Saccharomyces cerevisiae S288C: one gene and its partner. The gene in region 2 interacts genetically with the main gene of each other region. Each region holds a gene or a part of one and is shown on either strand. Other genes may lie near its edges.

What was found. Genes that interact genetically often act in the same process or in processes that back each other up.
Region 1: mutations in YFH7 (region 2) and YVC1 together harm fitness less than expected from each alone (positive genetic interaction), as found in Saccharomyces cerevisiae (one large-scale study listed by BioGRID).

What each region holds. Positions count from the first base shown.
Region 1 is NC_001147.6:485,756-490,310, reverse strand, and holds YVC1 (Yvc1p), read right to left. Parts: upstream 2,605-4,555; coding exon 577-2,604; downstream 1-576. Other genes in the region: Rab family GTPase VPS21, read left to right, coding at 1-115; TCB1 (tricalbin), read left to right, coding at 3,532-4,555. UniProt on the Saccharomyces cerevisiae protein: Required for release of calcium ions from the vacuole in response to hyperosmotic shock.
Region 2 is NC_001138.5:157,333-160,932, reverse strand, and holds YFH7 (Yfh7p), read right to left. Parts: upstream 1,635-3,600; coding exon 573-1,634; downstream 1-572. Other genes in the region: FAR7 (Far7p), read right to left, coding at 1-398; YFR006W (putative Xaa-Pro dipeptidase), read right to left, coding at 3,181-3,600. UniProt on the Saccharomyces cerevisiae protein: ATP-dependent kinase that could be involved in endoplasmic reticulum membrane assembly.

The DNA of each region.
Region 1 (4,555 bases), on a different chromosome or scaffold from region 2:
GAAGACGGCTGAAGAGCAAAATAGTGCAAGTAACGAACGTGAGTCGAACAATCAAAGAGTGGATTTGAACGCTGCTAATGATGGGACCAGCGCAAACAGTGCTTGCAGTTGTTAGAGAGGGGAAAATAAATATATATAAAAAAAAAGTCTGGGCAAATTGAGATAAATAGATCTTCAAAACGGGAAAGATGAAAGTCATAATTTATCGTACCTAGAAAGGAGAGGGAGTTTTCATTTTTTACCGTAATCGTTGTTTTTCTTTTCTTCTTATAATTTGTAAATTTTTTAACTGCATTAGATCATTATATTATCTTTCAAAACGCCAGTCGTTTTTATTAGACCTTTATATACGTTTCAAAGTGGTTTGTACACGTTAGTTTAGTTAAACTTTTGTTTTCATGTAGACCAAAATATAAACTTATTTTATGCCGAAAATCGGGAGATGGATTAGTTAATATTGTAAATAATGATAAATTAAAGGAACATTAAATTTACAAAGTTGCAATGAGGAGCAATATATATATATATATATGGATTTCTGAGAAATTAATTAAGCAGTATTTGAACACATGTCGTTTACTCTTTCTTATCCTTTATGTCTAATTTTTCGAGTAGATCGGTAATTACAGCTGTCAAGTTTTCCACTTTCTTAGTGAGCTCTTTGACTTCATCTTTATCTTCACCAGCATCATCTTCAGTGTCATCGTTATCATACTGTTCGAAGGAGGGACTGCATTTTTTAACGTTTTTATACCACTTCTTAGGGACTTTAAAATGGACATCTTCCTGCTCTGCTGTTCTTTGCAGTTTTAGCGAACGGGAATTCTTTAACTGGGTGGCTCTCATGCCAGAATTTCGGTTATCAGAAAACAAACCGTCATCATCATCCAAGTAGCCATCTGTCAAATCCCATGGAGTATCATATTCATTGGCATCATCGTTTAACCTTTTCATCCTGTTATATTTTATCCTTCTAGCCTCCCGAGTTTCTTTAACAGAAATAAGCAACAAAAATGGGCTGTACACTATTGTCATTACAGTATAGCTCAAATCTTTAGCACGCTTCGGTGGAAGAATACGAAAGATAGGTGTCATGAACACTTCAATTAAGTTCAATGGAGAAACATAGACATCTTCATCAGGTGCTCTAATGTATCTCAACGTCTTTTGTGACATCAAAGCCATGTACTCGTCATCTGCATTGTCAATAACTTTTTGGTACGCAGTCGAATACAAAGCAATTAATATATTCAAAAGGATAACCGAAACAATAAAATAGTAACCATAATACAGTATTGCCGCATATGGGGGAGCGAATTCTTCGAAAACATCAAAACTACCAAGACCCAAAACGGTGATTGTTAAATTACCCAGGATGGGTCCGGTGATATCTCTCTTACCATCTGCGGAATCCAAACCTAAGAAACCTTGAGTGAATCCTATCATTATTAAGAATAGAAGGAAGAAAAATACAATGGATTCTTTCATCATATGTTTTAGGATAACCAACATAATCCCAATAAACCTTTGTGATTCAAGGTATAGTAGGAGTCTCGACCACACAAATGGTGCTGCACAGGATAAGACTCTATATGATATTTTATCCCAATCTTCTGAAGAGTATTTTGCATTAAGGGGCGTTACGCTCATTGCACGGAACCCCATAGCAAACGTGATTATCAAATATGTGGTATCATTAAATAAATTCCAAAACGATAGGTGCGCATAACCAATATAATAAAGCTTAGTGAGCTCATCCAAGATGAAACCAGTATTGAAAACATAAAATATGCTTTCTAACAAATCGAAAGATTGGACTCTCTCAGAGTCCTTACCATTAACCACCAAGGTATAAAGCCCTAGAAACAAAAATGAGAAGATCATCTGCAAATAATTTTGGTATACAGGCGCCTTTAATCTTACGGGGTTGAAATGAGAGATCAATGACACTTCCGCCAGTGAATCGTCCTTGATAAAAGTTGTGGGATCCAAGCCATTTTGGACTATCCATCCTCTCCATATCCATTTTAAACAACGCTGAAATCCACTCGATCCTATCACTGTAGTACAGTGCATATCTGTGGCAAGTTCCAAGGCATTCAACGGTTCTTGATCTTCATCGTTCTCGTTGATTACGTACCGACGCAGCAGTAACTGCATGAAAAGAAACTGCAGGTCTCTTGTCTCCTCCCTTTCAATTAACAATTTACATAACTGTTGTGAGGCTAAATTTCTGGTTTCGTAAAGTTTGGCATTGTGCACTTCCATAGTGGCCAATATGGAATACCACTCACAAACTTTAAGAAGTGAAAAAATAATGACAGATTGATATTTTCTTTTGTTGGCCTTGTCTTTAGGGTTCCCGCCACATGCTTCATAAGCCAGCTTCACAACTTTTGGAGATAAAATCTCAGAATGGTCACAAACAATATCATTGGGATCGTAAACAATAGGTACGACCTTATCAATTAAGTATTTCAAATTTAACGTAACCCTGAGAATCTGTCTCGGAGTGGGGGCCTCAAATCCAAGAGATCCATTGTTTTCCGGCATGCACTGTTCGTTAGAAATTGGCAAGTGCAAGTCGCCGTTGGCTGATACCATAATGCTCCTGTTCTAGTAATATTATATTTTATAACTGAATTCTATTGCCTTACCAAGCCACTGATTAATGACAATTGCATTGAATAGGCTCTAGCTGATCCTCGAAGGATACTGACTAAATTTACCACATATTTTCAGCTCTTATGAGATAACTCCGACATAGCAACAGTGTAGGAGAAAAATTAAAAAATTAACGACCCCAGTGAGGGTTGAACTCACGATCTTGCGATTAACAGTCGCACGCCTTAACCAACTTGGCCATGGAGTCTAACTTTGTTGTTTTAGAGAACGAATGAAGAACTTATTATGACGATAAAAATATGTCAAGAGAGGCCCAAGAATGTATAAATCATTGTAAAACCAAGCAAGTAACAAAAATGGTCATGTGACAAGAGGTGGTGACATAAAAATAACCAAAGGACTAATAACTAGAGAAACAATAAAATGAGAAACTAAAAAAAGAAATAAAGCATTGAAAATCTCATTAGACTAGTTGGCTCATTTCCATGGCAAAATGTACAATTGTATCTCAGTAACGTTATACTCGCTCCCTTTTTAGGCCAATTTTATCCATTATTCTCATTCTAAAATAGCGGACATAACGAGAAAACGATTTACGTTAGAAGTGATAACAACTTTGGCGACCGGAATGCTGCATGAAAAATTATAACAAAAGGCCCCTCAAAAAGCTAAGGGACAGGGATGTTGCTGCAATTGGAATAGTATAATCGGCCGTCAAAATTATCAACTAATAGCATTGGCTACTCCAATTTGGACTTACTGGCTGGTAATTGACTTGTATAGCATTGTCTTAGCTTATTATTTTTTTTTTGCTGAAGAATAAGTAGGATAATTGAAGAAGAATAGCTAAGATAAAAAAAGATAGCTAGTGCATTCTGAAAACTTCAATTGCGTGGTACATACAATATGGCCAAAGAAGATACTGGGGTAACAGCACCAAAGAAGCCCGAAACAGCCCAAGTAGCTAACATAAATGGGATAGATAAGTTAGAACCTCCAAAGACGAAAGAGGAAACCGAATCCAGTAAAAGCGTGTCATCTGAGAAGGCGGCACATGCTAGTGATGAAAGCTTCAAGAGAAGTATCCATGAAGCTTCTTATGTCGGCTGGAAACAGATTGGTGGCTGGGAAGACAAAGACGAATTAACTTTAGATGATGAATTGATGGATATGACTAGAGAAACCTTCTTAGATAACATCATACCGGACAGCCTTTACGGTGACTGGTATCATTCGGTAGCCATTTTCTTTATCGGAGGCGTGGCATCATTTGCACTTGGTCATTATAAGTTTTCAATGGGGTCGGCCTTTTTTGTCATCGTTATCACTTCATTGTTGTATAGAACCTCTGCTAAAAAATACAGAGGTTCCATAAGAGAGTTAGTCCAGAAAGAGTTCACGGTGCAGAAAGTGGAAAACGACTATGAATCCCTAGAATGGTTGAATGCCTTTTTGGATAAGTACTGGCCCATTTTAGAACCTTCCGTTAGTCAATTAATCGTTCAGCAAGCTAATGAACAAATGGCTACTAATGAGGCGATTCCCAAATTTATTACTCAACTATGGATCGATGAGTTGACACTTGGTGTTAAACCCCCCAGAGTTGATTTGGTGAAGACTTTCCAAAACACTGCATCCGATGTTGTTGTGATGGACTGGGGTATTTCTTTTACTCCTCACGATTTATGCGACATGAGTGCTAAGCAAGTCAGAAATTACGTTAATGAATTAGCGGTTGTTAAGGCCAAAATTTTTGGTATCACCATCCCTGTTTCTGTGTCAGACATTGCTTTCAAGGCTCATGCTAGAGTGAAATTCAAATTGATGACTCCCTTCCCTCATGTCGAAACTGTTAATATCCAGCTACTGAAGGTTCCTGATTTTGATTTTGTTGCTACCTTATTCGGCCGTTCCATCTTCAATTGGGAAA
Region 2 (3,600 bases):
TGTAAACTTTTCCGGAGCATTGAATTTTGGCGCTTCAACACTCCTAGCATAACGTCATCTTTCGCATTTTCATCCAGATTGTTGCTTAGTTGCTCTTTCTCAGTAATAGGAGCTTTCCCTCTTTGTTCTAGAAATCTATTAAATAATGCAATATTTTCCGTGGTATCGTGAGGTTCTTCAGATGTCTCATACTTGTTTAAGCTTCCGGATAATATGTCTATGTTCCTTAGTATTTTCGCCTTTTCTGCTTGATTTTCCCTCAACTGTTTCACTAGCTTGTTAACTAACAAGTACATATGATTCAAGTTTTCTGCTTGAGGAGACATATATACTTGCTGCTGCTGCTGCTGCTGCTGTTGTTGTTGTTGCATTGACAAAACGTTGATTTGGTCACTCATATCTAAACCTTGGCTTGAACTTCTTGTAGAATCAATATGTATTACTTCCCATATATGTCGTAATAAAGGGCACCTCTGCAGAGTTCATAAAGAATGCCGTTTTTGCTTGCGCGCCTTAATTATCTGTATTCAGTTCGATTTTACAAAAATATATACAAGGTTCCGCCTAACCTTCTAGTCGTTGCGGATATGGACGATATTATCTACCTTAATTAAATGATTATCTATATCCCTGCCATTCAACAAATCATTGCTGCGAAACTTCTCTCGTCCTTCTGCAATAGTCGTGACTAACCCTGATTGCAAATGCCTTTTGGCCACCCTTTCTTCGGTGGCCTCATAGTCTATGTCAATCTTATAAACAAGAAGTGCTCCCGTATCAGCTAATGTTTTGTAAATTTTCTTCCAGTTTTCTTGGTCATACAGTAGGTATAACCCTTCAAGTATAACTATCCTTGTAAATTTGGAAATACAGTACTGATCTGGAGTTGGGTCTTTTAGTGCATGGTTAAATCCTGGAACAAAGATATCAGGAATTGTTTGGCTAAAAGTTTTGGATAACTTCTCAAAAACGCTTGAAGTGGAGTAAAATTTATGATGTGAGGAGACCTTACATAGGGACGTCTTGGCTAGAATTTTACACAATTGTAAGAAATTGTTACTGTCAAACGTTGAGGGCGAACCTCTTCTTTTATGGGCAGTTTGTGGGTCTTTGAATAGGTCTAGACATCTGCGAGATAAGTGAAAACCATCCATTGGGACTATTTGCGCTATATTGATACTATCCTGGGCCAACTTGTTAACATTGACTGGATTATCAACTGCTGCGATTCTTATGGCATTCGCAGTACCACCTCTGGCAACTACTGCGGTACATTCTTCATTATTTGATGTAAGGGCTGAGTACTTGACTGGTTGAAAATTAACATCCTCAACATGATCTTTAAACAGCCCCTGATTTTCAATCATTTCAGCTACTTTATTGGGCTGGAGCGTCTTTAAAGAGTCTACTAGGTTAACCATAGGTTTCAACCTATCATTAACCTCAATAACATTTGGATGCTCTGACAAAAATGTGTGATATTTTTCATTTATAATTTGACAAAGTTCTTCCGCAATAGTAGACTTACCGGAGCCTGGAGAACCGACTAGGATAACACAAACCCTATAATTATCTTCGATACGGTTATCCAATAGCTGAAGAACGTCGTCTGCTAGTTTATGCGTATCGACCATTGTGGCTAGAATGATCCTCTGGTATGATACAGGATAAAATATGTATAGTACTAGTGAAATTAACCTAACAAGGTTACTTCATTTTTCCCGAAGAGCAATACTTGATGATGCTTAAAGGTACGCATTTAATGAACGAAAAATAACACAGTTCGTTTGAGTAAAAAGAAAGCTCACAAAATTTAATACAGAAAAAAAATTATATGTAAACTGTGGACAAGTCTGATAAGCCCAGATAACCCTTCTATTTCACGAAGGTGCAAGTGCGATTGAAAAGAATTGTTTCATGGCATTAGCTATCAGGACACGAATGCATAATCGTCAAGATATTATCGGTATGCAGCAGTTGAAGTTGTTATTAATGTTATAAGGCACCATCATATGTGGCTTTGGGATGATCTTCCGCCGATTGGTGTTCATATTACAAAAATTTTATCACGCTCGAGGTTAGAAGATGGCATCAATTATGAGGCATGAATAACAAGGTTTAAGCACTAGTAATCATAGCGGATGCTGAAACGCCAAGGTTAATGAGTTCATAAGATTAACGAATAACGAGAACTTAGGTATGAGTCAAAATTTTACTTTCATAATAGATTTATCGAAAATGTGATCAATTTTCTGAATAATTTGATAACTGTTGGGATTGCATTGTTGATCAAGACCATAATATTATGTACACAGAATATGCTAGAAGTCTCCTCGAGGATGTAGGAATCCTCAAAATGGAATCGGTAGTTCTACATAATAATATTACGATTATTCCCCATTCCGTTTTATATGTTTCATTATGCTATTACATTATCAATCTTGCATTTCAGCTTCCATTAGGGTTGATAACTGTTTCTCAACTTTTATGTCATCTTCCTGAACCGCATATGATAATATGCCAATAACATGAATATTACCAAATGGATGGCATTTCAAATTATTACTTTAACAAAAAGGAACCAAATAACTCATATAATAATTACCTATTTCTCAAATAGGTGGACGACGGTTTATCCAATTCCAACAATAATAGTAATTACTAATATTATGTAGATTTTTCGATCCAAGTCCTCGAGGGCGACTCATAGGAATGCTATCTTCAATCAACAATGACATCCGAATAATTATCTCAAGTTTTACAACATTCTCAAATATTATGGTAAAAAGAAAACTTTGCAATCTGCAAAATTCTCGAATTCTGAATCGCTAGATTTCCTTATGAGAAAAGTCACATTTAAAGGTGTTAGCAGCTAGTTATTATAGTCCTATAGTTCCTGTAACAATGAATTTTTCATAAATAGAAGCGGATTTAGCTCAGTTGGGAGAGCGCCAGACTGAAGAAAAAACTTCGGTCAAGTTATCTGGAGGTCCTGTGTTCGATCCACAGAATTCGCATTCATTTTTTGCTCTTCGGGGTTGGTCCTTAATTTTTTCAGTGCCATTCCTTATATTTCCAAATCTAGTTAAATGGTGAATCCAAGATTATAAAAAAAATATACAATTCTGTGTACAAAAGAATATACTAAACTTCTAGAAGCGAGTAAAAAAAAGTTAATACCTAAACGATTACGTGGAAACCTGAACGGGGTTTCTTCAAACCTTTTTGAACGATTTTTTCAATTTCATCAGGGTCAGAAGTAATACCAGTTAAGTTCTCGTAACCATCTTTGGTAACAAGGATATCATCTTCAATTCTAACACCACCGACATACATGTATCTTTTCAATACGCTCATATCGACAACTTCCAATCTTTCGGGGTGCTTTTCCAAAAATTCTTTGATCAAAAATTGATTAAAGTAGCAACCTGGTTCATTAGTGATAACCATATTTTCTTTCAAAGGACGGCGGATTCTTAAATATCTAAACATTGGATCTGGGTCGTCATAGTTTGGATTACCACCAACGTCGTGTACATCAAGCCCCAACATATGCCCTAGTCCATGGGGATAAAAAGCGCAAGAAGCTCTTCTTTTAAA